Linked DNA regions of Ovis aries. The protein of the gene in region 1 purifies or fractionates together with the protein of each later gene. This does not show direct contact. Links are inferred from orthologs where the notes say so. Each region holds a gene or a part of one and is shown on either strand. Other genes may lie near its edges. The genes, in order: SLBP and CTIF.

Region 1 (3,798 bases):
AGTTACACCTGAGGGTGAAAGTGAAGTCGCTCAGTCGTGTCTGACTCTTTGCAACCCCATGGGCTGTAGCCCACCAGGCTCCTCTGTCTGTGGGATTTTCCAGCAAGAATACTGGAGTGGGTTGCCATTTTCTCAAGAGGATCTTCCCCACCCAGGGATTGAACTCCAGTTTCTGACATTGCAGGCAGACTCTACCCTCTGAGCCCCCAGGGAATCCCTTAGTCATACCTGAAAGGGTTCCAGAAAGAATGAGATCCTGCAGAAAGTGACCTCAGGGACTAGCGTTTCAGTTCTCGTGTGATGGCTCCAGACACACACTGTCCAGACTTCCCTGGGACTTCCCCGCAGACTGGGACCGGGTGAGGCACCTCAGTGTGTGGCCTCTTTTGGACCCTACTGTGAACCTCTAGCTAGAGGCAGTTTCCAGGTCAGATTGTTCTGTGTTTTTTGGTTGGTGATGAGGCACCGCAGTGTGTGGCCTCTTTTGGGCCCTATCGTGAACCTCTACCTAGAGGCAGTTTCCAGGTCAGATTGTTCTGTGTTTTTTTGGTTGGTGACATAACCTTTGCAAAGTTCGGTGTTGGTTGTTGCTGTGCTAGAAAGCAAATTCCCGGTGCATCCATAAGGAAGGAGGTTGGGGGTGGGAAGGTGTGCAGCTTTCCCAAGGTGAGCGGTGCCCAACAGGCATGTGTCTTGTTAATGAGTGATTGTGGTATTAGAAGTAAAGACTTCATTTCAGCTCACATTAGTTTTTCCTGAAGGTTTCAGGGTTAGAGAGATGTAAATTTCCATGGTCTCACCACTTAGCGGGCAGCTTGAGTTTTCTTTCAGAACTGGTTGCTTTAAGTATCCTGTATGGTCTTGGCAAGTAGCCTTATCTTCTCACCAGAGAATGGTGATTGAAGGAGGTTGAAAATAAAAGAAGCCGCCTTACTGTGACTGTTGCTTAACCCACTTACCAGACCACACCCTCAGAGAGGCTTTGTAGCTCTAGAAGCGTTGAGTTGATTTCTGTACCTTTGTAAAAACAGCAACGTTTATTTACTTTGCTCTCAGATATAAAAGGAAACTCCTCATCAATGACTTTGGAAGAGAGAGAAAGTCATCATCAGGAAGGTAAATGCTATGTAATCGTTTCTTTTCTAATTAATAACCCTGTGACTTACTCATGAAAAATAAGGCGGACATGTGAGCGTGAAATGCTGGCTCTCGGTAGTGTTTCCTATTTTTTCTGTTCTTCACTGATTTGAAATACGTATCCTGTACTAAATCTCTGTATATTCAGATTCTAGACTGTTCTGGAGTTAATACAGTTTGGAAATCCAGCGGGCAAGTGCTCTGTTATTGTGTTTACGCATTTTCTTATGTCATGATCTTGTTTGTGAGGTTTGCTGTGTTAATTTCATTTTATTTAGTTCGGATTCGAAGGAGTCTGTGTCTGCGTTGCCGGCCGACTTGGAGACGGATGAAAGTGTCCTGATGCGGAGGCAGAAGCAGATCAACTATGGGAAGAACACCATCGCCTATGACCGCTACATCAAAGAAGTCCCCAGGTAGGCCCGCGCCGCCAGCGTGGGCTGGCCAGGCCACGGGCGTGGGTGCTGAATCTGATTCTGGGTGTAGTTCGCCTGCTAAGAGCTCTCTTATCAGTGATCTTCAGGCACTTACATAAAGAGGAACATGTTGGTGCCTGCGAAACCAAGGACACGAAGACAAGTGACATTTTCATAGTTTAGAGTGTTGGGTGACGTTGTCAGGAGTAGCTGTCTTGTAAATGTGGGACTGTTAACGTACATGATGGCGAAGGTTCAGTTCAGGTTGCAGATTGTAAAGCTTTCGCTAGAGAAGAGCACGAGCCTTAGCCAGTCTGCGTCAGCAGCATGCGTCCTGCCTCCCACACAGGGATGCAGTGGGAGCTTTACGGGGCGCGGGAGCTGCCGGCCTGAATGCAGGTGTCCTTTGCTGGAGCGTGGATTGCAGGGAAGAGCAATCGGCGAGGTAGCGCTGTTTAGCTCCTGTTCACATGTGGGCCTGCCTGTGCACCAGCATCACCCCTCTGTCCCTGTAGGCACCTTCGACAGCCCGGCGTTCATCCCAAAACCCCCAACAAATTCAAGAAGTACAGTCGGCGGTCGTGGGACCAGCAGATCAGACTCTGGAAGGTGGCTCTGCATTTTTGGGATCCCCCAGCTGAAGAAGGATGTGATTTGCAAGAAATGTACGTCTCTTTGGAGTCTTGTCCCCCCTGTCTGCCGTGATGGCAGCGGCTCTTGCTGTGTGGCAGGTCACCCTGTATCCTGTCTGTCTTGTCTCTGCTAGTGTCTGAAGCTGGCGGTGTGGGCTCCAGGAGGGGCTGGAGGGAGGGATGCGCTTCCTGGGTTGGACTTACTGTTTGTAGCTACACCAAACTGACCTTAGTAGAGGTACATGGGGTTTTCTTTGTTTTCTAAGATAAAATGTTTTGGAAAGCTTGAATAGTTAGGTTGAGCTAGGCAGCTCAGGGGTACGGAATCTGCAAGAGACTTGCACATTGGTCCCTGGGTCGGGAAGATCCCCTGGAGAAGGAGGTGGCAGCCCACTCCAGTATTGCCTGGGAAATCCCATGGACAGAGGAGCTTGGCGGGCTATAGTCCATGGGGCCACAAAGAGCTGAACGTGACTCGGGGGCTAAATAGTAGTGAGCAGGCGCACTGTGTAGTCAGTTCACTCCGCTGGGCGGTAGAGACTGGCACAAGCTCGCGAAGCAGCTACACTCAGTGGCGGCTGGGGCTCCCCAGTTGGCTCAGTGGTGAAGAGTGCCTGCCGGTGCAGGAGACACAGGTCCAGTCCCCGGGTCGGGAGGATCCCTGGAGGAGGGAGAACTCCAGTATTCTTGCCTGGAGGCCCCGTGGATGGAGGATCCCAGAGTTCAGTCCACAGGGTTGCAGAGGGTCAGATCCGGCTCAGTGGCTGAACAGCAAACGTGAGAGGCTTTCCCTTTTTTTTTTTTTTTGCCTACGGAAGGTTTTTCTTTCTAACCTCTGTCCAGTGGAGAAGGCCTCGGGTTGAGCTTCTGCCGTGTGGTGTGGATGCCGGCTTGGCGGGGAGACGGAGGCTGGCCTGTGGTTCTCTCCTCAGCTCCCTTGTCTGAACTTCTCCCTCCCTCAGAGACCCAGTTAGTCGTCCAAGTGTCTGAGTTTCTGCTCTGAGCTGGGGACATTTATTAGAAGCTGTCAGGTCTGAGGCGAGGTCTGAGGCACGTCTTTGTGAAGTTGGCCTCGCTTCACAGGCATGCCTGGTTTCTTTCCAGTTGCCATTGTTGCCCCATTCTCTCTGTGAGCAGGAGATTGGAAACATGAGTGGTGGTGTGTAGTTTGGTTTGTCAGCGTGTGTCCCCCCAAACTGGGCTTTACTGTCGCCGCTTCTGCTTAGAGGGATGCTTGTGGGCGCGTACAGACAGCTGGCCACGCACAGGAGTGGGCAGCTTGTTGCGTGCTCTGAGCACGGTGGGCATTGTGCCCATGGTGGGCATTGTGCCCGTGGTGGCCGCTGCCAGCCTTCCTCGGGGAGGATTCGGGGGGGGGGGCATCCTCTCCTCAGGGCGGAGGAGGTGCTGGGAGCGCGCGTGGCGGCGTGGCACTGGCAGGGTCTCACGGAACCGGCCTGGTGTGCTCGTCTGCATCGCGTGCCTCCTGGTTCTCTCACGTGGTGGCTGACGCGTGTGTTCACTGCACAGACATCCTGTGGACCTCGGGGAGATGGAGACTGAGTCCGCAGAAAGCAGCTCTGAGTCCCAGACGAGCTCTCAGGACAACTTCG
Region 2 (4,399 bases), on another chromosome or scaffold:
TAAATTGAATCCTGTCTTAAACACGTTAAGGGAGCTTCCTGGGGCCACCTGAGTGCATCCCGCGAGGGGCCGGACATCTTAACGTCTGCTCAGTGCGTTCTGTTCCAGTATAACCGGGTTTTCTTGAAAGCCAAGCAATTTTTCTCGCGCGTTCCCAGAATGCTCGGAGCCAGGTTCCCTGAGGTTTTCGGCCCAGACCCGTCGCTGGACAGGAGGAACAGGGCCGGACAGCCTGCGGCCCCTCCCCGCCCTCTGGGCGGCTCCTTCCTCTCGCTTTCAGCTCGGGCGGTAGCGGCGCTCGTGCTGTGTCACTTTCGCCTTCGGAAGCCCCCAGCCGCTGCGAAACCAGCAGCTCCGGTGGCTTCCTCCCTCTGCGCGCGGGCCCTGAGCCTGGGAGATAATCCCCTGTCGCAGAGACCCAGCTCCGGGAGGGCAAAGACCTGCCTGCGGCCGGCTGGGTACCCGGCACCCGGCACCCGCGCCGGAGGCAGCTCGGGGCGGAGAGCGCGACCCGGCGGGCCGGGCAGCCTTCGGCCTCCACTGTCTCTAGGACGAAGAATTGGGAGGGGGTACGCAGGGGCGCCGATTCCCTCCAGGATCTGCGAAGGCAGCGGCCGGAGCGGCCGCGCGCACCCACAGCGCGCCCCGGGCCAAGGGTCAAGCGAAGGGGGCGGGGGCGCAACGCACAAGCGCCCCGCCGCTCCTCCAGGCCCAGCCAGACCAGCCCGCGGCGCCGCCGAGTAGACGGCCAGCCTGCCGGGTCCGGGTCGGGGGGAGGCGTCGGGGACGCGAGGAGAGGGACCGCGGCACGTCTCTGGCCAGGCCCTCTCTCACCGACCCGGCTCACAAGCAACCCCAGGATCTCCCCGAGCCCTCGGCCGCACGAACCCCCCTCTCCAAGGAACCAGGGCGCTGGCGCGGACACACACACGACTACGAGCCCCGGCGGGACCGATCCCCGCGGGGGCTCGGGGCCCAAGCGCGTCCCCACTACGCATCGGTCTGCGGTCCCCGCCCCGCGCACGCACGCCAGAACGGTGTGTACACACACAAACAGCTGGGCGGGGGAGGCGACGCCTCACTCCTTGAGTGGGGATGCACAGCGTGCCGCCAACCACCCCTCCCCTTTACACGCCGCACCTCCCTCTCTGTTCACACCTGCCCCCCCCCCGCAACACCAACCCTGAAAACTCCGCGAAGCCAAACAGCCAACGCAGCCCAGAGGGGCTCAGACCTCCACCACCTCCCCTCCACAACTGTCATTTAACATCAGAGGAGAGACCCAACTCAGATGCGCGGTCCCCGGGACGCCTCCCCCAGCGGTACCCTGGCTCCGACACGCGGCCCTCCGGGGCACCAGATCTCCGCTGCAGCCGAGCCACCGCCCCCCTGCCCGCCGCCCACCACCTCCCTCCCCGCCCCCACACACACCCCACCAGGACCCGCGTCTGAGACAGTCACCTGCTCGTTAAAGAACCCGAGCCGGAGCCCACTCCGCTCCGGCCCGGGTCACCAGCCACCGCGAGCTGGCTTTTCAAAGCCTGTCAACTTAACCCTGACTCCACCGGACAGGTCTGTTCCCCAGGCCCGATTACACCGCGGCGGCAGGAATAAGAACGTAAAAAAAGAAAGGAGAATCACTGCCGTGGGGAAGGTCCAAAGCTGCGACCGCAGTGGAGCCAGCGATCCGGCTTTCTCCTCTGCTCCCATCCCCGCCCCGCGCCCCCCGCGCGCGGTCCGCGGGCTCACCAGGGACGGAGGGAGGGTGCAGCCTGTCTAGACGACAGACATCTCCGCGCCCGCGGGGACGGGCGCGCACACACAAACACACACACACTCACACGCGGCCGCTGCCACAGACACAATCGGTCGCAGGAGGACGGAGGGGCAGCGTGAAGACACTCCCAGGGTCCCTCCGGGAGCCGCGAGCGCGGCAGCCTCCGGCCCTTAGCCGCCACCCGGAGCCGCGCTCCCTACCTCCGCCGACTACGGTCAGAACAGCTGCAAGTTTGGCCGGTTCGTGAACCAATGCAGCAAATGCGGGCTTCACAACAAAAGGGAGAGGAATCACGCTCGCTCGCTTGCTTCCTCCCTCCGGGTCGGAATCCGGCACATGACAGCGGCTACACCGCGCGGCTCCAACCGTGCACCCCCTCCTCACCCCACGCCAACAGAGCCCCCCTCCTCACCGGAGCTCCAGGGCCACGGCTCCCCTACTGGCGGGGAACCGGCTGAGAAGGGGCAAACCTGGGGAGGGGGCGCGATCTCACAGTGCCGTCCCCGACAGAGGCGGGGACGCAGGATGGGCGCGGACGCCTGGCTGCCCGGGGCGCAGGGTGGGAGGAGGAGGTAGGGAGGTAGGGGGCTAATTGTTTGGGGCGGTTTTCCCGGATTTATCTGTAAGCACGCACACGTCACAGAGCCCTTCCTCACCGGTCCCGGAATCGACCCGCAACGAGAGATGACTACAGGAGACGGGGGGGTTGGGGGGGGAGGCGGCGGACGGTGGGGGAGATGCTCACCTCGGGGTTCCTCAGGCCGCCGCTCCGAGCCCGAGTTGGGGGTGGGGTGGGGGGGGGGGGAAGGGGGCAGGGAAGGAGAAGGGAGGGAGGAGGCTCGGGAGAGCCGATCCCCCGCCCCGAGTTCCGCGCGTCCCGGCGGCTAAGGGGGGGGCCTCCGGCGCCCCAGCGCACAAACCCAGCCGAGAGGGGAGGGAGGGAGGGAAGGGAAGGAGGGAAAGAGGGGCGGGCGGGGGGAGGGAGCAGAGGAAGGAAAAAAAAAAAAATGATCCCTGCTCTGACACAGGGAAAGAGAATGTGGGAGGGTGTCGTCCAGGCTCCGCCCTCCCCTCCGGCCACGTGCAAAGACATGAAAGGAACGAGGACGGCGGGAGGCCTGCTGGGTAATGTAGTTCGCCTTTCTTTCCCGGGATGGCGGGCCCTGGAGAAGCGGGGCGCCGCCGTGGCGCGGGGGCAGGCCGCCCGAGCCGCCCAGATAGCAGATCGAGCCTCGCCGAAACCCCACGCCCGACGGCCGATCCCCACCCCACGCCCCGCGCGCTGGCGCCGCCCCGCGTGGGGACCTCAACTGGGGACTTGGGCGAGGAGGGAAACATTTGATTTTAGGGACCGGACGGCTTTAAGGATGAGGACTTCCTTGCTCTTAAGTGCTAAGTCTGTCCTAAGAGCAGATGAAAGGGAGCGTTGTGTACTCCCTGGGCGGCCCAAGGGCAGTTACTAATGCTCTATTAAATGCTACCGTCTGTTACTGAGATGCATATGTTATAATTAACATTTGAACATCTCAGTGGCAGGGGCGGGATGTTGTAATTAGATATGCACTTTGCAACCAATTAATTTTCCATTGGCCATGCTAAGGGCTAAGGCAGGGGACTTGGTGGACAGGAGAATTCAGCGCAGAGGGTAATTCAGTAATCACTTTACCGAATCACCAGTGTTTTCCAAGTACCTGTTAGGTGCTGGGCACTGGGCTTAGCACAGAGAAGCCTTCTGGAGAAATACATGATGCTGTACACCTTCCAAGCAAAGGAGTTATGAACTCCCTTAAACTCATGGAAAGGGGTTATAAACTCATGGAAAGGGGTTATAAACTCATGGAAGGACTTGTGGGACATGGTATAGCTGCTGAAAAAAATTGTTTATAAATTCATATAACATTTAGTGAGCACTTTTCACAGACAGAACAGGTCTGGGGATGCCAAGACTGGTGAGACCCTCAAGGAATTCAAAGTCTAGCATTAAGGACTGCAGTCAATGAGGGTATAGGGGATAAGTCCACACCTAACATAGGTGTAGGCATAACGTGCTGTGGAACCCTCAGGAGGAGCAGCCAGCCAGGATGGAGCACGGATGCAAGAAGGAGAGGATCAAGGAAGGCTTCCTTGGAGGAGGCAGCGTGTTAGGTAAGAATTACTAAAAAATGTTAACAAAGGCAAAAGAAAGAGTTGGCCTCTGAACAAGGCTACAGGGTACAAAGGCTCCAGACAGAGATAAAAGAGCAAATTCTGAAAGTCCTAGCAATTTGGCAGTGCAAAAGGGAGACTCCAAAAGGGGGGGTCAGGGATGAAGGATGGGTCTAGAGGGCAGAGGAGCCTGGGATGGCTTTTCACCAGGGGTAGGGCTTGCAGTGGGCCTTGAAGGAGGAGTGGGATTTCTTTGAAAGCAGAGGGCATGTCTTCTTGGTATGCGCCAAGCCATCAGAGGAAAGCAAAGCAGCATCTGCAGCCACGTCTGGCTCTTTTGACTCTTTTGACTCTTGGGTCATCCCCTCCCTTCTAGAGAAAGGCAGCAGACCCATAGTCAGGCATTCATAAGAGGTAGAGTGGGTATCAGAAGCCACGCGAGGCCCAATCCCCGCAGAGAAGGAGCATGTTTAAGTA

Evidence for each region.
Region 2: the proteins of SLBP (region 1) and CTIF purify together in Homo sapiens (affinity purification with western blotting; 3 studies listed by BioGRID). This does not show direct contact. The link is inferred for Ovis aries from reciprocal best matches to the Homo sapiens genes SLBP and CTIF.

What each region holds. Positions count from the first base shown.
Region 1 is NC_056059.1:117,534,511-117,538,308, forward strand, and holds part of SLBP (histone RNA hairpin-binding protein), read left to right. Parts: intron 1-1,056; coding exon 1,057-1,116; intron 1,117-1,415; coding exon 1,416-1,553; intron 1,554-2,068; coding exon 2,069-2,218; intron 2,219-3,715; coding exon 3,716-3,797; intron 3,798-3,798. UniProt on the Homo sapiens protein: RNA-binding protein involved in the histone pre-mRNA processing.
Region 2 is NC_056076.1:48,545,319-48,549,717, reverse strand, and holds the start of CTIF (CBP80/20-dependent translation initiation factor), read right to left. Parts: upstream 2,819-4,399; 5' UTR 2,523-2,818; exon of another isoform or gene 1,462-2,522; intron 1-1,461. UniProt on the Homo sapiens protein: Specifically required for the pioneer round of mRNA translation mediated by the cap-binding complex (CBC), that takes place during or right after mRNA export via the nuclear pore complex (NPC).